7 linked regions of the Sus scrofa genome follow. The main gene of each other region encodes a partner of the protein of the gene in region 3 in a complex. Links are inferred from orthologs where the notes say so. Each region holds a gene or a part of one and is shown on either strand. Other genes may lie near its edges. The genes, in order: PRPF6, PRPF3, LSM2, SNRNP40, LSM7, LSM5 and LSM3.

What was found.
Region 1: LSM2 (region 3) and PRPF6 share a complex: the UniProt entries of both Homo sapiens proteins name them as parts of the U4/U6-U5 tri-snRNP complex. The link is inferred for Sus scrofa from reciprocal best matches to the Homo sapiens genes LSM2 and PRPF6.
Region 2: LSM2 (region 3) and PRPF3 share a complex: the UniProt entries of both Homo sapiens proteins name them as parts of the precatalytic spliceosome. The link is inferred for Sus scrofa from reciprocal best matches to the Homo sapiens genes LSM2 and PRPF3.
Region 4: LSM2 (region 3) and SNRNP40 share a complex: the UniProt entries of both Homo sapiens proteins name them as parts of the U4/U6-U5 tri-snRNP complex. The link is inferred for Sus scrofa from reciprocal best matches to the Homo sapiens genes LSM2 and SNRNP40.
Region 5: LSM2 (region 3) and LSM7 share a complex: the UniProt entries of both Homo sapiens proteins name them as parts of the precatalytic spliceosome. The link is inferred for Sus scrofa from reciprocal best matches to the Homo sapiens genes LSM2 and LSM7.
Region 6: LSM2 (region 3) and LSM5 share a complex: the UniProt entries of both Homo sapiens proteins name them as parts of the precatalytic spliceosome. The link is inferred for Sus scrofa from reciprocal best matches to the Homo sapiens genes LSM2 and LSM5.
Region 7: LSM2 (region 3) and LSM3 share a complex: the UniProt entries of both Homo sapiens proteins name them as parts of the precatalytic spliceosome. The link is inferred for Sus scrofa from reciprocal best matches to the Homo sapiens genes LSM2 and LSM3.

The regions. Positions count from the first base shown.
Region 1 is NC_010459.5:62,853,404-62,856,303, reverse strand, and holds part of PRPF6 (pre-mRNA-processing factor 6), read right to left. Parts: intron 2,224-2,900; coding exon 2,109-2,223; intron 1-2,108. UniProt on the Homo sapiens protein: Involved in pre-mRNA splicing as component of the U4/U6-U5 tri-snRNP complex, one of the building blocks of the spliceosome.
Region 2 is NC_010446.5:98,754,563-98,758,569, forward strand, and holds part of PRPF3 (U4/U6 small nuclear ribonucleoprotein Prp3), read right to left. Parts: intron 3,505-4,007; coding exon 3,338-3,504; intron 1,604-3,337; coding exon 1,524-1,603; intron 1-1,523. UniProt on the Homo sapiens protein: Plays a role in pre-mRNA splicing as component of the U4/U6-U5 tri-snRNP complex that is involved in spliceosome assembly, and as component of the precatalytic spliceosome (spliceosome B complex).
Region 3 is NC_010449.5:23,905,351-23,909,794, forward strand, and holds the start of LSM2 (U6 snRNA-associated Sm-like protein LSm2), read right to left. Parts: upstream 3,174-4,444; 5' UTR 2,948-3,173; coding exon 2,945-2,947; intron 2,336-2,944; coding exon 2,268-2,335; intron 1-2,267. UniProt on the Homo sapiens protein: Plays a role in pre-mRNA splicing as component of the U4/U6-U5 tri-snRNP complex that is involved in spliceosome assembly, and as component of the precatalytic spliceosome (spliceosome B complex).
Region 4 is NC_010448.4:87,876,696-87,881,381, forward strand, and holds the start of SNRNP40 (U5 small nuclear ribonucleoprotein 40 kDa protein), read right to left. Parts: upstream 2,929-4,686; 5' UTR 2,846-2,928; coding exon 2,702-2,845; intron 1-2,701. UniProt on the Homo sapiens protein: Required for pre-mRNA splicing as component of the activated spliceosome. Component of the U5 small nuclear ribonucleoprotein (snRNP) complex and the U4/U6-U5 tri-snRNP complex, building blocks of the spliceosome.
Region 5 is NC_010444.4:76,245,258-76,250,025, reverse strand, and holds the start of LSM7 (U6 snRNA-associated Sm-like protein LSm7), read right to left. Parts: upstream 3,002-4,768; coding exon 2,855-3,001; intron 2,763-2,854; coding exon 2,672-2,762; intron 1-2,671. Other genes in the region: SPPL2B (signal peptide peptidase-like 2B), read left to right, coding at 3,000-3,059. UniProt on the Homo sapiens protein: Plays a role in pre-mRNA splicing as component of the U4/U6-U5 tri-snRNP complex that is involved in spliceosome assembly, and as component of the precatalytic spliceosome (spliceosome B complex).
Region 6 is NC_010460.4:40,750,903-40,755,470, reverse strand, and holds the start of LSM5 (U6 snRNA-associated Sm-like protein LSm5), read right to left. Parts: upstream 3,082-4,568; 5' UTR 2,989-3,081; coding exon 2,943-2,988; intron 2,932-2,942; exon of another isoform or gene 2,055-2,931; intron 1,940-2,054; coding exon 1,844-1,939; intron 1,009-1,843; coding exon 981-1,008; intron 278-980; coding exon 205-277; intron 1-204. UniProt on the Homo sapiens protein: Plays a role in pre-mRNA splicing as component of the U4/U6-U5 tri-snRNP complex that is involved in spliceosome assembly, and as component of the precatalytic spliceosome (spliceosome B complex).
Region 7 is NC_010455.5:70,345,798-70,350,323, forward strand, and holds the start of LSM3 (U6 snRNA-associated Sm-like protein LSm3), read right to left. Parts: upstream 2,884-4,526; 5' UTR 2,827-2,883; coding exon 2,806-2,826; intron 746-2,805; coding exon 635-745; intron 1-634. Other genes in the region: XPC (DNA repair protein complementing XP-C cells), read left to right, coding at 3,139-3,241, 3,535-3,678. UniProt on the Homo sapiens protein: Plays a role in pre-mRNA splicing as component of the U4/U6-U5 tri-snRNP complex that is involved in spliceosome assembly, and as component of the precatalytic spliceosome (spliceosome B complex).

The sequences.
Region 1 (2,900 bases), on a different chromosome or scaffold from region 3:
ATGCCGCGGGTGCAGCCATCTAAAAAAAAAGTCTAACCAAAGTGTTTCTTTTGGTTGTTTTTGACCACCCCAAAGCGCTTCTTAAAAATAAACAGGAGTTACCATTGTGGCTCAGCGGGTTAGGGACCCTACGTAGTCTCACTGAGGATGCAGGTTTGATCCCTGGCCTTGCTCAGTGGGTTAAGGATACGGCCGGCTGCAAGCTGTGGTATAAGTCACAGATGCGGCTTGGATCCAGTGTTGCCATGGCTGTGGTGTAGGCCAGCAGCTGCAGCTCCGAATTGACCCCTACCTAGCCTGGGAACTTTCATACGACACAGATGTGGCCTTAAAACGAAACACACACACACACACACACACACACACACACACACACACGAGTTCCCTGAGAGCTCAGCAGGTTAAGGATCCTGAGCTGTCACTGCTGTGGTGCAGGATCAATCCCTGGCCTGGGAACTTCTGCATGCCGCAGGCACAGCCAAAAAACAAAAAAACCCAAAAAACCCCCACCACTCACACGGAGCAAGAACCTCAGACTCCTTTAAATTGTTTTCCTTTGAGCCAAGTACCAGGAGAGAAAGCCAACCCCACAAAACATCAGACCACGGCCCTGACTGGGGGAGTGAAGTGCAGTCTCCTCCAGCCCCTCGGTTCTCACCTCCTGGGACATTTCGCCTCAGGAGGCAGCTCCAGCAGGAGCCCAAAGCCAAAACAGAGAACCTGGGCCACAAGCAGACACGCCTGAAAACCAGACCCGGAGAGGAGCCCTGGGGTCCAAAGCCAGACCGGGAACCCAGGGAGCTGTCCCCACAGGCCAGCGAGGGCGGGAAGGCAGAGGGGGGGCTGCCCGCCTCCACCCAGCTCCCCCGCCAGAAGCACCAGCGCAAACCCTTCAGGCAGCTGTTTCAGGCTGGGCTCAGCTTCGAAAGGAATCACTCCAGGCTCTGATAGCCTGATTGTTTTTTAAGCCTTGCGGTATTCTTAATTGCTTGGTGTTAGATAAACTGTGATTTAAAGAGCACAAACCCAGATAGCAGCACACAGCACCAGCCTGGGAACAGCGGGAAGGAACCTGTTTACTTTACAAAGCCTTTTATGAGGTTTTATGGCAGCCCTATCGGAGTGTCACGCACAAGTCACCGTGGGAGCCCTGGGAGGGCCCAAGCTGGGCCTCTGGGGCCTGCAGGAAGCCCCAGGCGCAGTGCCTCCCCTGCAGCGGGGCGGAGGAGCCGGGCAGAACCTGAGCAGGGGGGCCCAGGCTGCCCGGGATCCCGTCAGGCAGGGACAGCACCTGGGAGCTCCCCGGCCCACACCCCCTCACGCGGGGGGGCGGGGGGGAGAGCCTCGATGACGACGATGATGCTTCCAGCCCTTCCACCCCGCCACCTCCCAGCCCTGACCACACCCACCCTCTGCCCTGCACTCAGGTTCTGCTCCTCTCAGGCCCCTGTCCTTCGAGAAGGGAACAGAGACCCTGTGAGGTTAGGAGGGTCTCAGGCCCTGCACACACTGGCCTCAAGCTCACCCAGTCCTTTCAAGGCCCCGAGCTCCCTCTTTCCACACGTCTCGTCTCGACGGGGCCTCTGACCCAGCACCCCACAGAGCCGCCTCCCCTGGCCCTGGAGGCCAGGTCCCCTGAGGACAGGTGGCTCCGGCAGAGTCGCCTCCACACCCCCGGGGACATGGGCTGGGCCTGGCCACAGGCCCTGGATTGTTCCTGGGCTGCAGGGGTCAAAGGGCCTGCCTTCTCACCCTAACCCGATGAAAGCAATGTTCTTGCTTACAGCCCTTTGGACCAAGGGAGGCTTGCTTATAACTTCAGTTCTCTGAGGACCAGCGTCAGCAGGCCTGTGCCTGTCCTGCAACCCACGGGACCCACAGGAACAAACTGAAAAGTGGCAGAGACGGCAAGAGCAGACCCACGAGAAGGAACGAGGAGAAGGAAGGCAGGTCAGGGATGAGCAGGCAACCCAGGCCCATGCGGCCTCTGACTGGGGACGTGCTCCATGGTGGAGCTGCGGGGGCCAAGGACCAGGGGAGCCCACCCTCTCCCAGGGACCAGGAGGCCCCGGCAAGGTGCTCAGAAGCACCACAGGGACCCTACTCACTTGGCCACAGCCAGGAGCACGTGGGGGTCGTGCTCACACTTCTTCAGGGCATCCACACTCTTGGTCTTCCTCTGGGGTCTCGCTTCCAGGAAGATGGCTTCGGACCAGAGGACCCCTAAAATCCATAATGCAGACAACCCACCCTGCTTTCAGAAACATGCCCATCCACACACAGGCTGCCCGAGGTCAGCCTTTGAACGTTCTAAGCCCAGTGTCCACAGCTACGCCTCCTGCACATTTGGGGAGAACAGCAGGGGCCAGCGGCACCGCCCACCCCCCACAGCCAGCAGCCCAGGTGGCACAGACAGGACAACTTTCTGGGGGCAGGGGGGCCGGAAGTCCAAACACCTCTAAGGTTTCATTCCCACTGACTCTGTGACTTCGCAGCTAAGAATTCACGGTCACAAAACCATCGGAAGCGCTACCACAGACCCGCGCAGGGCCACAACCCAGGGGTGGCTATCAGACTACAAACAGACCCCCCCTCCCGGGAGGGGGACGGGGGGGGGGGTCACACACCCAGACAGCTCAGTGAAGCCACTAAGGAACGTACATTCTTGAAGATTCAGTAACAGTGAAAAACTCTCACAGATTTAAAAAAGGAACAAGGAGTTCCCGTCGTGGCGCAGTGGTTAACGAATCCGACTAGGAACGATGAGGTTGCGGGTTCGATCCCTGGCCTTGCTCAGTGGGTTAAGGAGCCGGTGTTGCCGTGAGCTGTGGTGTAGGTCACAGATGCGGCTCAGATCTGGCGTTGCTGTGGCTGTGGCGTAGGCCGGTGGCTACAGCTCT
Region 2 (4,007 bases), on a different chromosome or scaffold from region 3:
CATGCTATTTTGGATATGTCTTTAAAAAGCATTCTTATATTTCAGGAGTTGTATTCTACTTGTTTTTCTTTTAACCTTTTAACCAACTGAAACGTGGCTAATGGAAAATATAATATTACAGCTGCTCTGGCTGCCCTGTGTGAGGATTTGGGTTAGGTAGAAGATATGCAGAATCTCATTTGGATCCTACCTATTGAACCTCAATGTGTCTATGGAATACAACTTGAAAACCACTGGCCAAGATGATGAAATTTATAATTTGAGAATTACTGGAATTGGAAAAAATCTTCTGGACTCCTAAAGAAGGTTTACTCGACTTGATAAAACATATAAAACCCTCTGCATTCTTTTGATGATTCATACTAATGACAGTTAAGTAGATTCTTATTAAATACAACTCAACAATTACACTTTGCATTATTTCAAGCTCTCAATCTATTTTCCTGAACTTATTGGAGATACTGGTAAGCAAATTTTTTATTTTCTGATTTTTATTTTTGTGATTATAGTTGATTTACAGTGTTTTGCCAATTTCTACTGTACAGCAAAGTGACCCAGTCACACATCGCAGTGACTGGATATAATTCCCTGTGATGGTGAGCAGATTTATTGATTGAGTAAACTTGGTAACTGAGTAAAAAACTAACTTCCTTTGTTTATTCCAAAACTGATCAAAGTGTTAAAATCTTTTATGATCGCTTGAAGAAGGAATATAACTTAATATTATTCCTACATATGAGGAAATTTTGTATTCTAAGTGATTTACACAAGGGATTCAGCTACTTAAAAAACACAGACACGATTAAAACCCATCTTTTTCAACTGAGTCAATACACTTTTGCTACAAAAATGATAGAAAGGCTGAAGACAAAGACTGAAAAAGGCCAGGACTTTAGTGGTGGTGTCTAAGACTAGAGTTGGGAGTCAACACTAACAAAAGGCCAATTTGTAATATACATCAGTGAAGCCATTTCTAGATTAGGCCTCAGTGCTCTACAGCTGCACTGTCCAATACTGTAGCCACTAACCACATTTTCTACTTAAATTTAAAATTAAAATTGAATAAAATTAAAAATTCAGTCCCTGAGTTATATATTATTACAACTCAGGTTTTAAGTTCTTTGTTTTGTGTGTGTGTGTGTGTGTGTGTGTGTGTGTGTGTGTGTGTGTCTTGCTAGGGCCACACCATATGGACGTTCCCAGGCTAGGGGCTGAATTGGAGGTGTAGCTGCTGGCCTAGGTCACAGCCACAGCAACATCAGATCTGCAACCTACACCACACCTCACAGCAATGCCAGATCCTTAACCCACTGAGTGAGGCCAGGGATCAAACCTGAGTCCCCATGTATACTAGTCAGGTTCGTTACTGCTAAGCCACAAGGGGAACTCCAGTTTTTAAGTCTTAATAGTCATATGTGGATAGCGGCTACTGTACAGACAGCTCACATAGAGAACACGTCCACTACCACATAAATTTCTATTGTATAATAGTTCTCTAGAGCTTTGATTGAGTAATCTATTACCTGGAGGGTTAAGCTGGGCTGGATGTTCAACAAGATTTGTGATTCCAAAATAATCTTCTCTCTTGGGATTTTCCTCTGTACTAAAATTGGAGGAAGAAGGGAAAACAGGATATGTGGGTAGAGATGATTCCAAGAGAGGGAGTCTCAGAAACAATGAAAAAATCCACTCTCCATAATGAATTCTAGCACTTTTATAAGTATTTGCATATCTATAATATGTAATTATATTACACATAATTTTCAAGATGAGAAAATGGTTCCATTTGGATGCACTCTTTATACCATTCTCAACCTTTTTTCTACCTCAACACCTTTGATGGATACCATGGACTCTCATTAGTAACAATAACTCCCCGGGGCAGTGGTTGGCCAAGGAAGGGTAAGGAAAGGCTGAGACAGTCTCCTAAAGCCATGTATCAAAATGATGAAGAAGATATGATAAAAGCTCTCCAAATGTTTCTTATATGCTTTATTTATTATTCTCTCCCTCAACAACTAAGAATCCTTGCTCTACTCTAGGTCTGGATCTTTAAGAAATATAAACACCTATTAAAAGGAGCAAAATAATGTATTTCATTTTCTGCTGGAAATTCCCAGGCCAGGGATCAAACCCAAGGAGCAGATGCCACCCATGCTATAGCTTTGGCAACACTGGATCCTTAACCAACTGTGCCACAGCAGGAACTACAAGAATGAAATTAAGAAAATATTCTGGAGTTCCCCTCATAGCTCCGTGAAAACGAATTAGACTAGCATCCATGAGAACGCAGGTTCAAATCTGACCTCACTCAGTGGGTTAAAGATCCAGCATTGCCATGACCTGTGGTAGAGATGGCAGATGCAGCTCGGATCCAGTGTCACTGTGGCTGTGGTGTTGGCTGGCAGCTGCCATTCCAATTCAATCCCTAGCCTGGGAACCTCCATAAGCTGCAGGTGCAGTGTTAAAAAAAAAAAAAAAAAAAAGAAAGAAAGAAAACAAATATTCTGAAGTTCTTGTTGTGGCTCAGCAGGTTAAGACCTCAACTAGTATCCATATGGATACAGGTTCAATCCCTGGCCTCGTTCAGTGGGTTGCTGCAAGCTGCAGTTTAGGTCACAGATGCAGCTCAGATTTTGTGTGGCTGTGGCTCAGATTCGACCCCTAACCAGGGAACTTTCATATGCTGTGGGTACGGCCATAAAAAGAAAAGAGAAGAAAACAAATATTCTGGAGTTCCTATGTGGCACAGTGGGTTACGTATCCAGCACTGTCACTACAATGGCTCAGGTCACTGCTGTGGCGTGGGATTCCTGGCCCAGGAACTTTTGCACATCAGGGGTGTGGCCAAAAAAAAAAAAAAAAAGCAAATAGAAAATTTATAATTATTTGCATATTTATTTATTTGTTTGCTTGTTTGTTTAGGGCCGCACCTGTAGCATATGGAGGTTCCCAGGCTAGGGGTCCAATTGGAGCTACAGCTGCCGGCCTATGCCACAGCCACAGCAACACAGTATTTGAGCCACATCTGCAATCTATACCACAGCTCACAGCAACGCTGAGCAAGGTCAGAGATCAAACCCACAACGTCATAGCTGCTAGTTAGATTTCTGCTGCACCACAACGAGAACTCCTCCACAAGTTATTTAGACTATTTGTGACCAATCCTCCTCCAATAACCCCAAAAAACCTAAAAATAACCCATACAACATACTCTTAACAAATATATGAGCTTGTGTGTGGTTACCTATTCTCCTTAGATCTAATTTAAAGCACAAGTATTGTCCTGCCCATTAAAACTCTAGCCTTACTAAAAGGTATTAACTAACAAACTCACAGGTCAAAGCCATTGGGGATGATGTAAGAGTCCCACCACTCAATTTCAGGGATATCTCCTTCCTTCAACTCCTTTTTAGGAGCAATGAGGGCCAGCCTAGTCGAAGTATGAATGCCTGTTTTTCGAGCTGCCTGTGAGATCTCTGCCTGTAGCTTCTCCAGTTGGGCCTAAAGATAAAAAAAAAAAAAAAAAAGAAGAAGAAGATAAATTGGAGTCAAAGAAAACAGGGAAGTAGTAGAATCCCATTTTTTTTTTGTGGCTGCACTCAGGAAATACGGAAGTTCCCAAGCTAGGGGCTGCATCAGAGCTGCAGCTGCCGGCCTACACCACGGTCACAGCAATGCCAGATCTGAGCCGCACGTTGTGACCTACACTGCAGTATGCGGCAATTCCAGATCCTTAACCCACTGAGTGAGGCCAGGGATCAAACCCACATCCCATGGATGCTAGCTGGATTTGTAACCTGCTGAGTCACAATGTGAACTCTCCATTTTTTTTTTTTTTTTTGGCCATGCCCAAGGCATGTGGAAGTTCCTAGGCTATGGATCCAACAGACCTGAGACACAGCATGAAAACACCAAATCCTTAACCACTAGGCCACCAGAGAACTCCAGAATCCCAAATCTTAAAACACTCCCTTCTTGAACTCTTTATACTCAATCCAAAAAAT
Region 3 (4,444 bases):
GGCTGTGGTGTAGGCCAACAGCTGTAGCTCTGATTGGACCCCCTAGCCTGGGAACCTCTGAGGGTGTGGCCCTAAAAAAAGCAAAGAATTGGAAATAGCCTAAGAATCCAACAACAAGGTCTTGGTTAATTAGTTCTACCCAGCTAATAAAAATGCTATTCAGTAGTTCCTGCCATAGTTCAGTGGATTAAGAATCTGACTGCAGGGAGTTCCCAGCTGTGGCTCGGTGGTAACAAACCTGACTAGTATCCGTGAGGACACAGGTTCTATCCCAGGCCTTGCTCAGTGGGTTAAGTATCCAGCATTGCCATGAGCTGTGGTGTAGGTCACAGACAAGGCTCAGCTCTGTTGTTGCTTCGGCTGTGGTGCAGGCCAGCAGCTGCAGCTCCAATTTGACCCCTAGCCTGGGAACTTCCATATGCTGCACATGTGTCCCTAAACCAAGAAAACAAAACAAAACAAAACAAAAAAAACCCACAAAAAAATCCGACTACATCGGCTAGGGTCCTTACAGAGGTGTGAGTCTGATCTTCAGCTTGGTACAGGAGATTAAAGGATCTAGCTCAGATTGAATCCCTAGCCTGGGAACTTCCATTTGTCACAGGTGCAGCCATTTCAAAAAAAAAAAAGCACCTTTCAGACATTAAGAACGTTAAAGATCAACTTTATTGAGATGGAAGATATCCACAACATAGTGTCAGGTGAAAAAGCAAGTTTTACAATTGCACAGAGTATGACCCTGTTCTTAATTAAACAACAACAACAAAAAAGGATGAGGGGCAGGCAGAAAGGGATTTAAGTTCTGGCTTTGTCCTTTACTAGTTGTATAGACTTAACCAAGTTTCCTAACCTAGTCAAGCTTCAGTTTCCTCATGTAAAACAGCAACAACAGTATATGTCATGTAGAGGTGTTCAGAGAATTAAATGAGTTAATAAATGAGTATTCAGAGTAGTGCTTAGTCTATAGGAGAGCCTCAAATGTTAGCTTTTGTTTTCCCCTTCAGAACACATTAGGCACCTACTCTATACCAGGGCTGTGCTAGACACAGGTACACAGTGGGCGCTTAAACACATCTTGGCCCTATAGAAGACCAGCCCTAAACAGTAAATACATTTCTATGAAATCACAGTTTGAGAAGCACCCACTAGAAAGGAAAGACTCTATATGATAGAAGTGTCTATGGCCTAGAAGAACCAGGAAAGTGCAAGGATACAGCATTTAATCCACGTCCTAAAAGATGATTTGAAGTTAATGATACAAGGGGACGAGGGATGTAAAAACAGTACAGACACAAGGGACTGCACTGGTCATCTGTTTATCTTTTATACTGTCTACAACAAAAGGGCAATTATACCACATAGATGATTCTGCAACAGCTTTCCATATTAATACAACTCATTTCCATGTGGCAGCTGCCTTTAATGGAAATACCAAAATCTAACCCATTCCCTATTTTTTTTTTTTTTTGGTCTTTTTTTGCTATTTCTTTGGGCTGCTCCCGCAGCATATGGAGGTTCCCAGGCTAGGGGTCCAATTGGAGTTGTAGCCACTGGCCTACACCAGAGCCACAGCAACTCGGGATCCGAGCCACGTCTGCAACCTACACCACAGCTCACGGCAACGCCGGATCGTTAACCCACTGAGCAAGGGCAAGGACCAAACCCGCAACCTCATGGTTCTTAGTCAGATTCGTTAACCACTGCTCCACGACGGGAACTCCCCATTCCCTATTTTATTTTATTTTTTTGGCTGTGCCTGTGGCATGTGAAAAGTCCCAGGCCAGGGATGGAACCCGTGCCACAGCAATGACAACGCCACATCCTCAACCTGCTGCACCACAAGGGTACTCCATAACCCATTCCCTATTAATGGCTCCCCTCCACCAATTTTTGACTATTAAAACAAACAAACAAAAAAAAAACTACCAAAATTTTTGTACATAAATCTTTACTTCTGGAGTCAATACTTACATTTCTAGAATTTGGGTCAAAGGACCATGTGATTTCATCAGAAAAAACTTTTATTAAAAAAAAGTGATTGATGCCTCTGCCCCCTGACTTCTTTCTAGTACTTACATTTTTCTTTGGATCTTCTTCCCATAAAGATAAAACTCTGCAGCTAATCTGTCAGTTTAAGGCACAAGTCATTTCTTTCGTTTGTCTCTCTCCCATCTTGCCCAGCCCTCAAATACTTGTCAAATTAAAGAGGTTGTTCCGGAGGGCTGGGCACATCCACCCCCTACAGACTTGTCGGAACAGGTACCTACCTCAGGTCATTCTTGAGTTCCACGACCACATCCTTGCCCACAAGGGACTTGAAAAAGGAATAGAAGAGCTATTGGGCGAGAGGGGGAAAAAACATCATATGGGAAGGGACTTGGGCAGAGGCGTGTTCCCCGGCCAGTATTATGAGATACTGGTCCTGGGGATCCCCGCCGCATCTCTCTGGCAGTTCTCAAAACTTAAGAGGAAAGAATACTCGGAAAAACGGCTGGAGCCCCGGTGATTACTACCTCGAGCGCCTGACCTAAAGCCCGGGAGAGAGGCTCTGGCCCGCACGCCTCGGGCTCGGCTCTCAGTGGACCACCTCTCCCGGCGTCCTGCCCCCACTACCCAGTGAAGGGTACCAAGTGTAACACCCGCACCCTCTCGGGGCCTGGTCTGTCAGGGAAGTGCTCCTTGAGGTCTAGCTTTTCCCTCTCCTGCTGTTCCCGCCGACTCAAACAAATAAGACCCATTCGTTTTGAGGTCTCTCCCCAACGAACCTGATTTGCAGGAAGTAAGGAGGGAGAGAAAAATCCCAGGGCCCAACGTCAGCCCAAAGGAACAAAGCTCCCGGAGGGCCCCCCCGCCCCGCCGCCGCCCCGCGACCCCGTCTCCGTCCCCAACCATCCCAACGGTCGCGCTCCCCGAGGGCGCCCCCTTGTGACATCACGGTACCTACCATTGTGCTTGCACCGCGGGATGCCCGCCTGACCGGGAAGGCGAGGGCCGGGTACCGCGGTCCGGAGGCCGGGCGGGAACCGGAGCACAAGGCCGCGCGCGAGGCGGGGCGGGGTTGCGCAGGGGCGGCGGGAAGCGCCGCGGAAAGCTCAGGGTGACGGAGGAGAGCGGACCGTGCGCTCCGGCTACAAGCAGAGCGGGCGGGGTAGGACCGAGGGGACGCGAAAGCCAGGGAAGGGGCGGGGCTTCCCGCCTTCCGACTTCCTCCCCAAGCGGCCGGCTCCCACTGCGCAGGCTCGGGCTCTGACGGCTCCCCCGGCTTTCAAGTTTTCTTCCTTTTAAAAATAGTGTGGTTCCAGCATGATTTGCTCATACCCTGAAGACACTTACTATTGCAAACTGGGCGTTTGTGAAAACCCATGATGATTTGTACACTTTTCTATGTCTCTTACACTTTGATAAAAGTAAAAATGTTTGAGTTCCCAAGATCAGGAACCTGCACACAAATCCGATTTTGTCAAAGGTTCCCGATAAACTTATTTCTCCTGAGAACCCAACCTCAGTCCACATTTCTTTTACGCTTTTGCCTAGGGCTTTCCTGTAAGGGGCTGAGTAAAGCAAAACCGACTGACTCAGGGATAGAAATACCCATTCTGATATTTCACTTCCAAACATTGCCCTCTCAAACACAAAGGGACACAAATTCACAGTTACATGTATTTCTATACTCATGTCCCCAAAGCATTATCAGTATGCGATGACGCAAAAGGTGAAATTTTTTTTTCAAGGAATGAGATCCAAATAAATTCTCCATTTTCTCCTTTTTCTTTTTTGGTCTTTTTAGGGCCGCACCCACAGCATATGGAGGTTCCCCGGCTAGGGGTCCAATGGAGCTATAGCTGCCGGCCTAGGACAGAGCCACAGCAACACAGGATCCTAGCCGCGTCTACGACCTACACTACAACTCATCTCATGGCAATAATGGATTCTCAACCCACTGAGCGAGGCCAAGGATTGAACCCACAACCTTATGGTTCCTAGTCGGATTTGTTTCTGCTGTGCCACGATGGGAACTCCTAAATTCTCTGTTTCTAATCTTGCAAAAAAGCATCCATCTGGGAGTTCCCATTGTGGCACAGTGTAAATTAACCTATTATCCATGAGGATGCAGGTTCAATGCCTCACTCTGAGTCAGGGATCCGGTATTGCCATGAGCTGTGGTGTAGGATGCAGAGGGTGGCTCAGATCCCTTGTGGCTGTGGCTGTGGCCTAGGCTGGCAGCTACAGCTCTGCTTGGACCCCTAGCCTGGGAATTTTCATATGCCACAGGTGCAGCCCTAAAAAGCAAAACAAACAAACAAACAAACAAACAAAACAAAACAAAACAAAAAACCTCACTACCCATTTGTTAGGAGTTTGTTGTAGAAATATTTTCAGCATGTAAAGGATGTAATAAGGGACCCTGTGAGTGACAGACCCCACTGATAAGTAACACCAGGAC
Region 4 (4,686 bases), on a different chromosome or scaffold from region 3:
ACTATATATAGGCTAGGGGGACTGAAAAATGGGGGTAATGGGGAGTACAAGGAAAAGACAATGGAAACAATGATTGAGTATATTTTTCCTGATTTAGATAATGGCAACTCTTCTCACATAACTTACGTCTCTAATTAGATTCTCTTCTTCTGAAGTTTCCAGGGTCTGTTTGTTATGCTAACTCTCCTCCTCCCTCACTGCGCTCCTACTTTTGATTGCTCAAACATGTTAAACTCATTTCTGCCTCAGGATCTCTTATACTTGTAGCTGAACCCGCAGGAACAAGACAGAAACCCCTTCCCCTAGATCTTCCTGTGTGTGACTCCTCTCAAACATTTCTGCTTCAGAAAGTCCTTCCTGGAACACTCAAACTCAAGCAGCACTCTTCCACCTCCCTTCTACATGCTATCAACCTTAGGGATTCTCTCACAGCACTTCATTTTTCTTTTTTTGCTTTTTAGGGCTGCACCCATAGCATACGGAGGTTCCCAGGCTAGAGGTCTAATGGGAGCTACAGCTGCCGGCCTATGCCAGAACCACAGCAACGCCAGATCCTTAACCCACTGAGTGAGGCCAGGGATCAAACCCGCAACCTCATGATTCCTAGTCGAATTCGTTTCTGCTGCACCACAACGGCAACACCTCTCACAGCACTTCTCTAACTACCTGAAATTACCTTCCTCATTACTTGTTTACAGTGTCTCCCCTACTGTGCCACTAGAAAAGCTCTGTGACCACAGGAACCCTATAGAGTCATTCAACAGTCTTCCCAGTTTCTAGTTCATTTAATGAATGAATGATTGAATTGAGCTTCCCAACAACCTTGCAGGGTACAAGGTTACTAAGGAAAGTAGTCTTGTTTACGGTTTTAGCCACTAAGCCTAGGCTTGGGCAATTCACAGAAACTTGAGCTGATATTCTTACTTGTCAGATGGAAGAACAAATACACTGGCATTCTCTTCATGGCTCAGTGGTTAACAAGCCTGACTAGGAACCATGAGGATATGGGTTCAATCTGTGGCCTAGCTCAGTGGGTTAAGGATCCGGCGTTGCCGTGAGCTGTGGTGTAGGTCGCAGACACAGCTCAGATCCTGAGTTGCTGTGGCTGTGGCGTAGGCCAACAGCTGTAGCTCTGGTTTGACCCCTAGCCTGGGAACTTCCATATGCCATGGGTGCTGTCCTAAAGAAAAAAAACCAAAAGAACAAATACACTATTAATAATTCCTAAATCTCATCAGTAGTTTCCAGCTTATTCATTTACTCAAAAAATACTATGTGTCAGGCACTGTTCTAGACATTGAGAAAACAGTGTTGAACAAAATAAACAATGTAGGTTGTATTCTAGCAGGAGGGAGGGACAGAAAGGAGGGAGGGATGGCAGAAACAAGTATAAGGTATAGATGGTGGTGGTACGTACCATGGAGAAAACCAAACAGCAATGTGTTAGTGAGTACCCAGGTATGCAATTTAAAACAGGTTGGTCAGGAAAACCTTCATGGAAAAAGCGATATTTGAGCAGAGACTTGGAGGAGCTGAGTGTGTAAACCAGGTGGACATTTGGAAAAAGAACACTCCAGTAGTGGGAAAAGAAAATGCAAAGGCTTTGTGTGTGGTAGGAGCATAGAAGCCAATGTGACTGGAGTAAGGTGAGCAATGGAAAATTGGTAGATCAGAGAGGTCAAGGGAAAGAGGGCAAAAGGTTGTTAGGATTTTAGTTTTACTCTGAGTGAAGCGAAAAGCCATGGCATGTTTTCAGCAGAGGTTAACATGATTTGATGTTTAGAAGGATTCCTCCGGCTGCTGGACTGAGAATAGAATGAGCATCTGAGAAAAGAAACAGGAATGCCATCAGGATCCTACAGCAGGAATACTAGGTGAGAGAATAACAGCTTAGATCAGGAGGTAGTGATGGAGATATTTAGAAGTGGTAACAAATCTGGGTTTATTTTAAGGATGGTGCCAGCAAAGATTTGCTGACAGCCTGATTGAGGAGTTTCAGGAGGGGACATATATTCTTCAGCTAAGCCTAATAGAGCAGAAGGAGAGATGTCATCCATCACTACCTCTATCTTATAAGAACTCTAGTTAAAAGCCTGGATTCTGATTTTAAAATCGGTTTCTATCACTTATTAGAGAAGTTTGTTTCCCCATCTACAAAATGGGACAATTAACAATTCCTACCTCTTAGGCAGTGACCAAGATTAATGGAGTTTTCATATACAAAACACTTAGTACATGGCTCAATAAGTGTTACCTATTCTTCAGTTGTTAATACTAGTGCAGAGAAAGAGTTTTCCCCAAAGCAAGTTGCCCCAAGTCCCAAAGCGAGCTAGTATCGTTCATTTCCTTCCTTTCTTTCTTCCTTCATTCATCCATCCACTCTTTCAACTTTCCTGAACGTTTATTCTATGCTGGATCCCTGGAAGATTTAGGATGCGAAAGCCCGGGGCCCAGTTTTAAGATCCCTCACTAATTCTAACGCCCCCTCACAGGGCCATCGAGACGCTGAAACGTCAAACGGGGAAACGTAGCATCGCAGGGTGTTGACCGCTTTAACAGGTTTTTCTGCTCTAACTCCCTGGTGTGAGTCCCGTTCCGCCCCCGCAGTGCAGGGAAAGGGCCGGTACGGGATCTCACGGTGGAGCACTGAGGAGACAGGAAGATGAGCTGAGGGCCGAAGGCCATCTGCTCGTTTACTCACCGCTTGCAGCAAAGCTCCCGGCGCCGCCTGCTGCTGCCCGGCTCCCGGGCCCGACCCCGCCGCTCCCAAAAGCAATTCATGCCGCTGCCGCTTGACTGGGACCAGAGGCAACTCTGGGCCCTTGCGCTTCTGCTGTTCTATCATGGCGGCAACCGCTCTCCTCAGGCCGCCACTGACCGCGCCGACACCCTCAGGGAGCGCACGATTGGCTCCGACTTAGTCTTTCCCTTAGAACTTCCGGCTTGGAGAAACCAATCGGCTTCCAATACTCCCCTCTGCACCGCCCCCTGGGGAGTCTCCAGTTATTGGGCAACTCATTCTGATGTCACTAGAGTACGATTCCAGGATTGGTGGAACGAGCTGGAGTCCCGCCTCGGCGCGCTGGGTCTTGTGGGTGGAAGCGCGCTGACTGGGTTCTGGCGTTTCGCGCAATGCTGCGGCGGGGAGACCTGACGCTAACTCCGAGTAAGTGTTGGGGGTGGGTGGCTGCGGAATCTGGAGGCGGCGCCTCCGTTGTGTGGTCTGAAGCTGGCCTCTCTCAGCCCAGGGTTGATCGCAGAGGGCAGAGGGGGCCCCTGAGTTCCTAGCTCTTGGTGTATGGTGGCCTGGGTTCCCTTTCTAGGTTGGAGCAGAGCAGTGGGGTCTCTGCGCCTGCCTGGGGCCCTCGACGGCTGCTTTCTTTAACAAGCGCCTTCTGTGTCGAGCCCTGTGCCAGGTGCTCCTTGGGAGAAAAGGTCAGTTTCCCAGCCTCCACCAGGGTCGTCTCAGACTTTGGAGGCCGACTTCTTTCTGCCGTGATACTGCAGCCTTTTACCAGCGCCTGCTCTGTGCCCCTGAGAGAGAGAGAGGGAGAGAGAGAGAGAGATGAAGGAAATGTCCGACTCTTGGTCTCCAGAGCACAGTCTTGGCTGAGAAATTCAGACTCATACTTGTGAAGTAGGTTTTCTCCTTAATCGTTCAACTGATATTTATGGTGCAAAGCTTTGAGGAGACATTGTGAACCAAACATGGTCCCTGACCTCAGGGCTTTGAGTCCGATGGGAAAAACAGATGCTCAACAATGATCTTTATAGGGAATGCAAAGTAAGTGCTGCCAGGGAAAGGTACCTGGTGTTTTGAGTGCCAGAAATAAGCCGGAAGACTTGTCTAACAAAAAGATGCCTGAACCTATGCCTGAAGGAAGAATTCTAATTAGTTGGGGGAAGAGAGGAGGGCAGAATATTCCATATAGAACAGCATGTGCAGAGGCCCAATGGCAAATGAGAGGAAAATGACTAAAAGGTACAAAGAGGCCAGTGTTGCCAGGACAAAGAGAATAAAGGGGAGTGTGGTACAAGATGAAGCTGGAGGCAAGTGGAAGCCAGACTGTGTAGGAATTTGTAGCTTTTCTTTAAGACTGATGGGAAATCACTGAGGTTTTATTTTGTATTTTGCAGTGGAGAAGGTGGTGTGATGGAGGAGGCAGCTTGGTCCTTCTGGCTCAGTAGTTTGAATAGATTGGAGGGGAGATAAATGCAAATAGACCGCTGAGGTGAGAGTTGTTAGCAATGAAGACTATAGAGTGTTGGTGGAACTGAGAGGTAGATATTTTCTAGACTCCTTTGCACCTAAGATGAGAATTGAATTGGAAGGGAAAGGAGGAGGGTGAGAGGCATCCTCCTTTGCTGGCAAATACCATAGTAGAGGCAGTGGGTTTCTTAGTCACCAGCTTTTTGGTGTTGTGACTTTCTGCAATGATGGCCATAACTTTTTTTTTTGGTCTCTTTTTTAGGGCCTCACCCAAGGCATATGGAGGTTTCCAGGCTAGGGGTCAAATCAGAGCTATAGCTGCTGGCCTATGCCACAGCAACGTTGGATCCAAGCCAAGTCTGCGATCTACACCACAGCTCACGGCAAGACCAGATCCTTAACCCACTAACTGACTGAGGTCAGGGATGGAACCTACGTCCTCATGGATACTAGTTGGGTTCATTAACGCTGAGCCA
Region 5 (4,768 bases), on a different chromosome or scaffold from region 3:
GGGGCAGGTTTGAACTGCATCCAGGTGTCGGCAGGATGGGGGTGCCCCACCGGCAAGGGGTCACCCTGCAACCAGATGCAGATGTGGGAGCAGCTGCTCTGGAGACAGGGGACCAAGGAGAAAGCGAGGGAAGGGCTCCCAGAAGGGGAGCAGTGTCAGCTGACCCCAAACCACCCCCACCAGAACAGTCAGCGAAACCTTGTGCCTGTTTTGTAAACAGTTTAACTGGCTCACAGCCATGTTCATTTGCTAAATGTCGCCTGTGGCTGCTTTCCTGCTGCAATGGCAGTTGAGTGGTTTCAAAAGAGACAGTCTGGCCTGCAGAGCTGAAAATATTCCATGTCCGGTCTTCTATAGAAAATGTCTGTCGGCCCCACCTGAGTTTGAAGCCCTGTCATTGCGTCCTTTTCCTGCTTGACCCTCCCCTACGGAACAAAGACTGTGATAGAACCTACTTCATGGGGTTATGGAGAGTGGACAATGCATTCGGGCACTTGGCCTGGGGGCCGGGAGCCCACACCTGTGGGTCTGCCCCCCTCAAGGGGACGGGTGCACTGTGGCAGGCGGGCAGGATTCTGAGACAGAACCGGCATTCCCTCACCCCGAGAACACGCCTGGGAACCCCCTCCCCTCAGTGTGGAACAGGAGCAACGATGGGACATCACTCTGTGGTCATGTGACAGAGACAGAAGGCTTCGCAGCTGTAATTAAGGTTCAAGAGTCGGCTGACTTTCAGTGAACCTAAAGGGAGGCTATGCTGGGTAGGCCCAACCTGAAAGGTGAGCTACTAAAGGAATGGGCACTTTCTGGACAAAAGAGATTTTCCTGCTGGCTTTGAAGAAGCAAACTGCTAGGCGATGGACAGAGCCCATGGCAAGGGCAGCAGGCAGCCTCCAAGAGCCAAAAGGGTCTCTGGCCCACTTTAGCCAGAATACGGGGACCTGAGTCCAACAACCAGTGGGCAGGCAGGAGGAACTGGGTCTCAGATGACAAGCTCCCAGAGACACTCTTTTATGGCCACCTTGTCAGCGACCTGAGGCACCCAGAGTATAGAAACCACGCACACTGTTGAGATAAAAACGTGTGTTGTTTAAGCAGCTAACTGGTGGCCGTTTGCTCCGCAGCGTTGCAAACATAAGCACCCCGAGACGAGACCTATCTCCTATGTTTCAGAGCTAGGATGGTACTAGCATGTTCAAATCCTCACTGTGCCAGGTACCTCGACTGGCAGGCACTGACTGTGCTTTTAGCCATTCTGATGCTACTCAACTGTCCACAGCTCAGGGAAGGAGGGATCTGGAGCACTGTTTAAGAAACTGAAGATCAGAGGAAGCTGAATAAGTGAAATGTTGACCTTGAATTATCTGTCAGGGACTTCCTATCGTGGCTGAGTGGTTAGCAAATCTGACTAGGAACCATGAGGTTGCAGGTTTGATCCCTGGCCTTGCTCAGTGGGTTAAGGATCTGGTGTTGCCGTGAGCTGTGGTGTAGGTCGCAGACACGGCTCGGATCCCGAGTTGCTGTGGTTCTGGCATAAGCGGCGGCTACAGCTCCGATTAGACACCTAGCCTGGGAACCTCCATCGGGAACCCTGTTAACACTTTACCTGCCTTGAACTCTTTAATCCCCACTGCTGAGGTGGGCGGAGTCAATAATAGCCTCTGACAAAGGAAGAGACTGAGGCTCAGAAAAGATAGTGCCTTGCCCAAAGTTCCACAGCAGCTGAGTGGACAAGAGGGCTCTGCCATGGACGGCACTGCCCGCATGACCCTGCAGTCTCCTTACCAGATTCCAGTAGGAGACGCAGAGTTAAAGCCTCACAATAACAGCAGAAAGCTGCAAACTGTGTGACAGGTACTAGTAGAAGCTCATAACAAAGAGGCCTGACCTGGGCTGGGGAGTCAGGGAAAGCTTCCCAGAGCAATGGTATTGAGCTGCCAGTGGGGAAATGACCAAGTTAACTTGGTAGCCAGTTAACCTGGTAAAGGTGCTCAAGACAGAGAAAACAAGTATCTTTACAGCCCTGTGGCGGTTGAGAACTCCCAGCATTACTCTGGAGCAAAAGGTTCCTCCTTTACCCTGGAACAACCGTGAACAAGGAGATGGGATTTCTTTATAACAGATCCCTCTGGTGGCTTCATAAAAATTGACCATAGGGCCATGGTTCTCAACCGGGTCAGTTCTGTCCCCCAAGGGACAGTGGGCCATGTCTGGGAGGTCTGTGGTCGTCACGAATGGGGGGCTCCTGGCATCAAGTGGGTGGGAATCAGAGATGCTGTTTCACACTCTACAACGCCCAGGACAAACCTCCACAGAGAACACTGCTGCCCCAATGTCAGCAGTGCCGAGCCTGAGAAACCCTGGTGCAGGAGCACGGTGAGGAGCTGGGGCAGCCACCTGGGTGAGAAAGAACCACAGCAGGCAGAGCAGTGAATCCCAGCCACTGGGTTTTGGGTTAGTTTGGGGCCTTTTCCCGTGCCTCAGTTTCCCCACCTGCAACAGGGCCGTAATCGTTCCTACCTCCCGGCGCCTTTTGCAAGCCGGCACGAGTTCTCCGAACTAAACGATTAAAGCGCCGCCCAGGTATTCGTCATCAGTACCGCTGCCCGTTACCCCGTGTGGACCTTAAGAGGGGGAGAGTGGGGGGGGGAGGCAGGGGGCGGGGCCTCACCTTCGCGGCCTCCCTGGAACTTCACCCGAATAGTCTTGTCGATGTACTTGGACAGGTCCAAGATGCTTTCCTTCTTTTTCTTCTCTTTGTCCTGCGAGGAAAGCACATTGCGTGAGGGGGGAAGCGCGGCCAGATTCTGCCCCGCCAGCCCCTCCAGCCAAGCCAGCCGCGCCGCACGCTCACCGCCATCTTGCCGCCGCCGCCGCGCCGCGCCCTTTGGCCTCTGCCCCCTGCACATGCGCGGCGGACGCCTGGCGCCTGCGCAGCGCGGGGCGCCAAGGCGTTGCTGGGAAACATCTGCCGACGCCTGCGGCGGGGACCGGGCGACATGGCGGCGGTGGCATCGCTGGCTCGGCTCGCGGCGGCCTTCGTTCTCCTCGCAGCCCAGGTGAGGGCGGCGCCGACCCTGGCGGCCTCGCCATCCGCGGTGCCATTACTCCTTGGCCCCCCGACCCCGCATAGGGGTCCGCTCGGCCTGGCCTGGGGGTCAACCTAGGGTGTCCGTGCCCCCTACGCGGTCGGCCCGCGGGCTCGGGGCCGGCAGTGACCTTGCCGGACTGTCCCCGGCGCGTCTGCCTTCCCTGCCTGGAAGCCCTTCCCAGCCGCAGCGTCACCAGGCCCCGCCGGAGTCTTAAGGGGGGGTTCCCCCTCTCCTGCCCCGAGCCCCGCTTGTCCACCCCGGGGTCTCCAACCGCCGCCAGAGACGCCCCTCTAGCTTCGTGACTTTGGTCTGGGAGCTACCCCTCTCCGAGCCTCAGTTTCTCCTTGAGTGCGACGCTATCTGCCTCGACCGTGGTTGTGGTAAACTGTCCAGCGCGGCACCCAGGGTCTGGCGGTGTTGGGACGCAGCCGGGAGCCCAGCCCCGAAGTGGGGTCGAATCGCCGCCGCATCTTTTGCTCGCATGACCTTGGCAAGGGAGTTCCCCGCTTTGAGTATCAGTTCCTTGTCTGCAAAAGGAAGATAAGTGTACAGTATAGAGTCAGCGAGATGATATATGGGATCATGAACGCGCAGCATGCTACTTCTCTGTCATTTAACGTTAAGGGTCTCCAGGTGCTAGTGGGGGGAACTACCACGAGGTGGCTGATATACATTGTCATAAGTGCATCTTTTATTACCAAATCCTCCCCCTCTCTCAGGTTCCACAGCTTAGGCAGTGGTGGCCCCCAACAGCTCCCAAAACTGGGTCATTAGCCTGCTCCAGCCCCTCCACCTCTGCTCCAGGCAGATGGCTTTCCTCTGTGGCCACTTTTGTTCTCTGCACCCCCGGTTCATTCTCAACACTGCAGGAGCGATCTTTCTCAAAGTGTGTCATGTCTTGTGCCCAGAGGAGAGCCTTCTGGCAGCTTCCTGGTGCATTCGTGAAGCCCCTGTGATCTGGCTGTCAGGAAGCTTCCCCTTTCCAGCTCTAGTGTATTGAAGGCTCCCTGCACTTCTCTCTTTCGCCCAGGGTCACAGAATGGTAGGGAGTGGGTTTAGGGCTGTGAGCAAGCAGCCTCCTGTCAGTGGAGAGCTGGTCTTCCTCTTGAGCGCCATGAAGAACCAGGCCCAGGGAGGGTTCTGTATGTAGGGTTGTGTATGAATTGCCTGGTCATACACTTAGCCTCAGCTTCATTGCCCCTCCCTCTCAGGCTCTCTGGGACGCCCCCCTAGCTGCTTTGCCAGCCCCCTGTACTTCCCTGAGCCCTGTTCACTCATTTTCCTCAGCTGTCTCAGCAACTCGAGGCAGGGACCTTGAGCTGTCTGGGTATTCCAAAGGAGTGCAAAGCTAGAAGCAGGGGGAGGGTCATGGAAACACCACAGAATGAGGGATGCAATTGGCCTGGGAATGCTTTTCAGGAGCAGCGGTGCCTGCAGGGTGTTCTGAAGGACGAGTAGGAGTTTGCTAGGTCAGGAGAGCAGATGGAGGGTGTTGCAGGTGATGTGAGCAGGGCCAGGCAGAAGCGTGAGAGCTTTATTTGGGGAAGCTGTGGCTCCGCTCTAACTGGTGTATTTTCAGTACAGTGGTTCCACCTGAGAATGGTGTCATCCCAGTGGAGGCTCAGGTGCACTGGCAGGGAGGCCAGGGAGGGAACGTCAGGGGAGTGGCTCCAGGC
Region 6 (4,568 bases), on a different chromosome or scaffold from region 3:
ACTCTTGGTAAAATAAATGATTAATAATCACAAACTAATCTTAGGCCTAATGTCATCTTTAATGGCTTTAGAGCCCTGACCACCAGCATCCCTTTCCCATTTTAAGTACCACTGGGCCACAAGCATTTAGACAAGTTAGTTCTGTAATCCCTGCCCCATAAAAATGGCTTAACATCTAAATAAAATAGCTTTACTGTATCTTACCATTGTTATATTATTTCCATTTAGCAAAATTTGATCTAACTTAGTAATTCTTCTTCCTTCTGGTGTGATTTCACTAAACAGATTTTTTAAAAAGTCAGGATAAAAATAAAGAAAAAATTAAAACAAAACAAAAAGTCAGGATAAACAGTGATTGTCAAAGCCAACATTTTGATTCCCCCAAAAGGCTAATTATTATATATAAATGAAAACATGAGACAAAAGTTATCCATTGGTTTATTCTTCCCCACAGGGAATAGAGTTGACGGGCTCATCTAAGATCCACATCCACTAGGGCTGATCTTCACTTAAAAAGCTAAAACTTGCCTAGGAGATCAAATATGAAATAAAATGTTTACTATCCTCATTTTTTTTAACCATTCATTTGCTTCTGCTTCCTATCCATTATACCATTCTGTAATCAATTCAATTCTGAAAGCAGATCTACTACTGGTCACAATCTTTATAATTAATATAATTGAGCCATCATTTACATTTTCTATATTCAATTCAAAGTATTAAATACTTTTGATCTGAGCCCTAAGATCCCTCACTGCTTTTAGTGTCTTTTACCTTAAAGCTTTGTTTCCACTAATTTCCTAACAATTAAGGTAATAATCCTACAATCCAATTTTACTAACCTCAGTCATAAAATTTCTATGTTAGTGATTCAAACAGGCAGTGTTTTCTCATACATCATTTTACTGACTCAACAGTGCTACAACTGCCTTAAAGAGAGATTCCCCCTGCCCAATTCTTTAATTTTTAACACTACTCACAATTCAGTGACATCTTCCAGTACCATATCTGAAATTTGGTGTTAAGAAAATATATACCATGTTAAATTTACTCTGGCTTCTGTCTTTGTTCAGTTTTAATTATAACATTGGGAGTTCCCATCATGGCTCAGTGGTTAACAAATCCAACTAGGAACCATGAGGTTGCGGGTTCAATCCCTGGCCTTGCTCAGTGGGTTAAGGATCTGGCGTTGCCATGAGCTGTGGTGTAGGTCGAAGATGTGGCTTGGATACATCATTGCTGTGGCTCTGGCGTAGGCCAGCAGCTTACAGCTCCGATCAGACCCCTAGTCTGAGTACCTCCCTATGCCGAGGGAGCGGCCCTAGAAAAGGCAAAAAGACAAAAAATAAAAATAAAAAAATAACATTTAACATAATGACTCAAATTCAAATTGCTTGCGATTGGTAGGGGTACACACACCCCTTAAAACACTACCACGAATTCCATGAGAATAAATTAATTTTTATTATAATAATCAGTAAGCACTGACTATAGTTCTTACTTTTTTAAAAAAAACTGAAGATGGAGTTCCCGTCGTGGCGCAGTGGTTAACAAATCCGACTAGGAACCATGAGGTCGCGGGTTCCGTCCCTGGCCTTGCTCAGTGGGTTAAGGATCCGGCGTTGCCGTGAGCTGTGGTGTAGGTTTCAGATGCAGCTCGGATCCCGCTTTGCTGTGACTCTGGTGTAGGCCGGTGGCTACAGCTCCGATTCGACCCCTAGCCTGGGAACCTCCATATGCCATGGGAGCAGCCCTAGAAAAGACATAAAAAATAATAACAAAAAAAAATTTTTTTAATTAAAAAACAAAGAAAAACCCATACCCCCACTTTTTAAAAGGATACTGACAAAGTCATCAAATCCGAGAAGCGTGCCAACAATCTCTTTATCACTCTTCATCACAATGTGAATTCTTGATCCTATACACTTGTCTACAAGCTCTATAGATACAGGTTTTTTAAAAGAAAAATAAGTGGGGGGAGGGGTGAAAAAAATTATTTTGCACATTCATTACTTCAAGAAATATGTGAGTACTTACTGGCACTTATTACTTACATATGGTGAAAGATAAACCAAGAAAAGGATTCACTCAAAAACTTCAGGTCTCGGGAGTTCCCGTTGTGGCGCAGCAGAAACGAAGGCCAGCAGCTACAGTTCCAATGGGACCCCTAGCCTGGGAACCTCCATGTGCCTCGGGTGCGGGCCTAAAAAGAAACTTTTTTTTGTTCAATGAAGGAAAAAACTTTCCAATTACCGCCACGTCCACTAACTTAATTACCCTTCAGATACAAAATATTAGAAAAAGACATAACTGTCTTCCCCAGCCCCAAGACGGCTATCCTCTGTTCTCTGAGAGCAGCTTGAATATCTCTTCAGCAGAATTACTGTTACTTGGTATGATGTTTAATTGTCTGGCATCCTGTCTCCTGCGCTGGCATGAATGCTACCTGAAGCTAAGTTACGATGTCTAGTCTACAGATGCGCAAAAACTGTTTGTGGAATAAATGAATGACAATCAGAGCTAATTTCCAGTGTCCCCTTTTAAAGCTCATTGCAGACCCCGCTACCTCTCTCAATAACGGGCCAGACAGACAACAGGGTCTAACCTAGGGATTTTAAATGCCAGGTAGAAGAATGGGACTGCTATCCACTACTGTAAAGGCGAACTCACAACAAAAAAGGCCGACGACGCATTCACTAAGTGTGAACCTTTTCCAGTGACGGTTTGGTGTGAGAACTCAGAAAGTCCTGGCTCAAGAAAACCCTTCCACGCCGAAAAGACGCGGGCGGCCTGAGGCCTCAGAGCCTTAGAGCCCAAAGAGCCGCGGATAAAGAAAACAATTGGTCAGATACATTTCTCTAACACTCAGTCAAGGACTGCGCTGGCCCTCGGCCCGCAACCCTTCAGCTCCCCTCCCCAGCTCCCCACAGGACAACGATTACCTAGAGGTAGCAGCTGCGACGGGTTAGTCGTAGCGTTAGCCGCCATGGCTACGCCGGAAGTGGCCAGCCTCTACCGACGTTGGGAAGGCGAGTTTGAAAGAGCGCGCTTCCGCTTTTTTCCCCTAGCCCGGCCAGGCTCGACCAATCTGAGGCCGAGCGTGCGATCGGGCCAGTCCTACGTGAATCGCTCGGAGTCACTTCTTTCCTCCGCAACGAGATCCGGGGGAATACATCAGTGCGTTGAACATTCTGCGGCCTCAGCAGATACTTTGCCCTCCAAGTTTCCAAGACAAATTAAAGATATCTTGCCTTATAAATAAAATATTCCTCAACCTGGAAGACTGCAAAATAGAAACGTTTGAGTCGTTTGATTTTCCCTGGGTTATATTTCATTTCAACCAAGGATCTTCTGAAGACCAACATAAATATTTTTTCCGCCACTGATTTTATTGTGTTGCAATTTTTGTTAAAAAACAAAAGCAAAAACTTTTTTTTTTTACAGGAATCTACCGCTTTTTTTTTTTTTTTTTTTTTTTTTTTTCTTTTTAAGGCCACAGAGCAGATACATGGAAGTTCCCAAGCTAGGAGTCAAATCGAGCTGCAGCTGCCGGCCTAGCCACAGCCACAGCAATGTGGGTTTGAGCCGCAGCTCGCAGCAACAAGGGGATCCTTAATCCACTGAACGACCCCAGGAATCCAACACACGCTCAGGTATACTAGTTGGATTCTTAATCCTCTAAGCCACAAAGGAGAACTCCCTACCTTTTTTTTTTTTTTTTTTTTCTTTTCTTTTCTTTTCTAGGGCTGCACCTGCAGCATATGGAGGTTCCCAGGCTAGGGGTCTAATCGGAGCTGTTGCTGTCAGACTACGCCAGAACCACAGCAACTGCCAGATCCAAGCCACGTTTGCGACCTACACCACAACTCAGGCACAACGCCGGATCCTTAACCTACTGAGCGAGGCCAGGGATCGAACAGGCAACCTCATGGTTCCTAGTCGGATTCCTTAACCACTGAGCCACCACAGGAACTCCCCTACCTTCTTTTAAAGGTTCAGTGTAGGAGTTTCCATTGTGGCTCAGTGGTAAGGAACCCAACCAGTACCTGGGGACAGGGGATTGGATCCCTGGCCCCACACAATGGGCTAAGGATCCGGGGTTGTCATGAACTGCAATTGTAGGTCTCAGACGTGGCTGGGATCTGCTTTGCTGTGGCCTAGGCCAGAAGCTACAGCTACGATTTGATCCCCTAGCCTGGGAACCTCCATAGACTGCAGAGTGCGGCCCTAAAAAGACCAAAGGAAAAAAAGTTTGCAAACCCATAGCTAGCTTTAAAGAAATACTTTTCTGGGGGTTCCCCTCGTGGCTCAAAGGTAAGGAACTGGATTAGTATCCTTGAGGACAAGGGTTCAATCCCTGGCCTTGATAAGTGGATTAAGGACCTGGCCTTGCTCTGAGCGCTGGTGTGGGTCGCACAGGTGGCTCTGATACAGTGCGGCTGTGGCTGTAGGTAGGCCACAGCTACAGCTCCAATTCAACCCCTAGCCTGGGAACTTCTATATGCGTGGGTTCGGCCCTTAAAAAAAAAAAAAGAAAAAAGAAAGAACTTTTCTGTGATAGGAGGGAT
Region 7 (4,526 bases), on a different chromosome or scaffold from region 3:
GCCCTAAACACTGCAAAGGAAAGTAAGCAACACTGCAGCCTCGCCAGAACTAGCTGTTTGGCACATGTGGGCTCGATCAACAAGTACTGCAACTCAGACATTCAGAACTCAAAAGTATAGCATGATCCCATTCATTTTTTAGAGAGGGTGTATACAGTGTAAATATATACATATAGACACATATTCATGTATATCTGTTCTGTGTAAATATACAGAAAAGATCTGAAAGACTATAGACCCAATAGAAGAAATAGGATTTCACCTTTTACTCTACGTATTCCTGTGTAAAATTTTTCACAAGAAAACGCAAATTTATATGCATGTCAGTAATTTAAAGAACATTTAAATAAGAATGGAGGACAAATAAATCTTATTTACAAATAAACAGAAAGGAAAAAATGAAAGAAATGAAAATGTTCTCTAGTAGACATATTTCCATTAAGAGAAAAATGTGTTAAACATATGAATAAAGTACAGTTCATTTGGTGTTTAGAAATACAGGTGACTTTCCACCTCCTCATCTATTCAAAACACTCTTTCACAGTGGACAGTTTTTACATTTCCAAGGGGTGGGGTTAGGGAGCAACATTGAGGAAATAATCTAATTTCAAGGTGATTTAATAAATTTACTCACATGTAACCTGCCTCGAAGCTCTCTGTCATTTCTCATTTTCACATAGATTCGCTCATCCAGGCTGAGTCTGATGAGATCCAGGGGCTCTTCTACAGTGTTGGTAGTTTGTTGCTGATAAAAGAAACAGGCTTAGTAATACAGTTCTAGAGAGTGAAGTTTCTGAACCAGCAGTGCCCTGTGTGACTGTGAGCAAGTTAGTTAACCCCTCTATGCCTCAGTCTACTAATTTTTAAAATGTGTGTAACAGGAATGCCTACCTAATACTACTGTTGTGAGGCTTAAAATACATATATGAAGGCTTAGAACAGTGCCTAGCGTATATTAAGTGCTGGATAAATGAGGGCTGAAACATACCTACACAGAAAGGAGCTGTACAACAAAATAATCATGACTGCACTCTCTTCTCTCAAAATCCAAACTGTCTGACCCCATTTCAGGGTATAGGGAGTTACTGTCTCAGGGTCTTCATCTTTCTTTCATGTTATCATTTAGCAATTGGAAGAACATACACAATGACTACCACATACTAAGTGGAGATGAATGTTTGAGGAAAGATTATGAGTGCAGTGCAGGAGAGGCTGAGTTTAGGGTGCCATCTGGCCAGTAAGATGATTATATTTAGCAGGCAGTATAGAAAAATACTGGTTGAAAGCACTGGCTTTGGAGTCAGGCAGTGTGGGTTCAACCCCTGACTTTGACATTCATGAACTGGGTTTAAAAACCATCTCTAATTCTGTTTCCTTGTTTACAAAATGAGGAAGCCACAATCTTCCCTTCATGAAGATGGCTAGGATGACTGGGGTCCATGTGGAAGGGATGGTTGAAGGGAAGGGTGAGTTGATAAGATTATTTAAGGAGAGCTGCTTCGGGGATTACATAGGGTCATTGGAGGAAGGTGACTGAATGTTACAGTCTCTATAGCCTTAAAGGGCTAGATGCAAAAAAGAGAAAGGAAATCCTGACCTCAACTGCTTCCATCTCCAGATCAACAGATGTTTGTTAAAGACCAGCTAGCCAGTTACTAGATCAGTGATACAGGAGTCAGTCCCTACCCTCAAGGAGTTCATTCTAGTGGAGAAAGGCATATAAGTAAGTAATCATAATACTGTAAGAATATATACATGACAGAGACCTACCTCCCACTGTCCATCCTTTTTATCCTGTAGCTTTAAGTACTGCCTTTTCAAAAGGCCTCCCAGACCATCCAATTAATTCACTCAATGAATATTTGTTGAGTGTTTCCAGCACTGTTCTAAACCCAGAATAGTGAACAAAACAAGACTCTTGCTCTCAAGGGACTCACATTCTAGCTGGGGGAGACAGACATTAAACAAGGAACCATATACTCAATATGAACAAAGAACATGCTATGAGGAAAAATAAGGCAGACTGGGAGAGTGCATTTTATGCAGGTGGCCAGAGACCTATTCTTTGATATGAGGTGAGATTTCAGTAAACAGCTGAAGCTGCGGCCTAATCCACAAAAACATCTGAAGAAGAGCATTTGGAGAAGACGGGACAGCAGGTGAGAAAGCCTGAAGGACCATCAGTTATTCTAAATACCAGCTCCCTGTCTCCTGCCTACCACATCACAGTTTCCATATGTTTCGCATATTTATGTTTACTTGTTATCTGTGCTCCCTCGAATATAAGCCCCAAGTTGGGCAGGTATCTCCCAAGTCAATGCCGATGTCCCTGGTATTTAGAAAGGTTTCTAACTATACAAAGGTGATACTCACTAGTGTTTGTAGACCCTGTAATCATTGTTGCGCTCAGTAATGACAATAACCCACTAAATGTTTTATTAGCCTTTCTATCAGAATCCCGAGAGCTCCGTGAGGCAGGCAAGGATAATGGTTCTCATTCTACAAATCAACGTGAGACTCAAGAGAAAGGAAGTGAGAAGAGTGAGGAATAACTAATTTTCAGGAGGGTTTTGAACAACAAAGGTCTCAGGGCCTGAGGCAAAATTCGGAGGGGGCGCGGTTAACCAAGAGGCAGGTTAAGGCCGTGATGACCCAGAAAGAGGCGGCGTGACAGGCCACTTTCTCGTGAGTTTGGGAAAAGCAACCCTGAGCTTGGGGAAAACAACCCTGGTAAACAAAGCTGGGCACACCCTGGCCTGGACAGGGAGAAGCCGCCCCAGAGCGAACTCTTCAGAAGATACTCACCTGGTCCACGTCGTCCGCCATGTTTCAAACCCTGCGCCCTTTCCGTCCTCTCGCGAGGGCACGAGAGCTGCTCCCTATGCCCACCCCAGTCTCCGGAAACGTGAGGACTCTATGCACTGGAAGTAGAAAGAGGTTGGTTTTACAGCTTCTTGCTTCCTGCAGCTTGCATTGGTCCCTTTGAGGCTGGGGCGGAGCTTCAGCCTGGGCGCAGGCGGGAATCTACCGGAGGGGGCGTGACCAGGCCCTGCACCGCCTGGGGGCGGGGCCGCGCGCGAGCTGCGTCCCGCGGAGACGCGGTGCGTCACGCTCTAGGCGAGTCTTGCCCGGGCAGAGATGGCTCCAAAGCGCTCGGCGGGCAGGGCGCCGCGGGGGCGCAAACTGCGCGGCCAGAAGGCCAAGGGCGAGGGCAAAGCCCGGCGCGAGGAGAAGGAGGCGGGTATGAGCCAGGCTGAGTTGGGGTTGGTAGGGAGGGTGGAAGAGGTTTGGGTGGGGGTAGCAGGAGGCCGGCTTCCTGGAGGTGTGAGCGAGGCATCCTCCCTCCCACCTGCGCTGGGGGCGGTGTTCCGGAGGCCTAGGGAGGCTGGGGGTGTGCACGTGCCCAGGTGCTCCCCGGCGGCCCTGCGCCTTTGCTCTCCTGGCCAGAGGTGATGCGCCCTGAGACGTTCCGCTAGAGCCCAGCCGACCGCGAGTTCCTCTGCGTAGCCTCTTTCTGCTCCTTTTCGCCCCCAGGATGCAGGCGGAAGCAGGGGGCTGAATATGTGAAAGGTACTGCTATTATGTTGTGTCGCCACGAGACGAAGGGACCAAGACTTAGAGTGCTGTGGTGTGTGGAGAGTCCCAGATTTGGATCCCACCTGACAACGTGCATATCGAGTAGGCTGCTTATATTTGTCATGCGCAAAGCAAAACACTTGATTTCCCCTTTAAACCTATCCCTTTCTTACTTTTACCCCATATCAGTCTTTGACCCCTTCATCACTTGTTAAAACAAACTCCTTTTCCCTCCAACACACATCCAGTCCTTCAGAAAGCAAATCCTATCAGTTTAACCTCAAAACCATATCTCAAATCTCTCCACTTCTCTGTTTCCATGGCCACATACCCTGTCGAAACCACCATCACTTTTCAGTTGAACGACTGCAGTTGCCTCTCTACGGGTCTCCCTACTTCTTTTCATCCCCCTGGAGGAGTTTTCTGTGCTGCAGCGCAAAGTACCTTAAAAAAAAAAAATCTGATTTTGCCATGCTCCCACTTCAGACTCTCTGTGTCTTCCCATTGGCATAACAGCCTCCAGATTCCTCACCTTGGCCTACAAGACCCTGTATGATCTGGCTGCTGCTGCCTCTCCTGTTGTCTCTTCCTAGTCTTCTTTGCCAGGTACCTTCCTTCTTGGCCTCCTCACACACACCATGTGATTCCTCACCTGAGCCTCTGCCTAGAATATTTTTCCATGGCTTTGCTGTAGCTGACTTCTCTTCCTCCTGGTCTCAATCCAGGTATTCCTTGAATGTCCTAAGATGGTCTTTTCAGGTGCACCTTATCACAGCTTCTGTCACATCTGTAATGACCTTGTTAATTTATTTGCTTCCTGTTTGCTCTCTCTTACCAGAATTGAAAGTTATAAAAACATCTTAATTTTCTTATCTTGTTCTTTTCCCCTTCCCTGCATATACCAAATGCTTGATAAATAGTTTGTCATTGCATAATACATGTATGCTGTA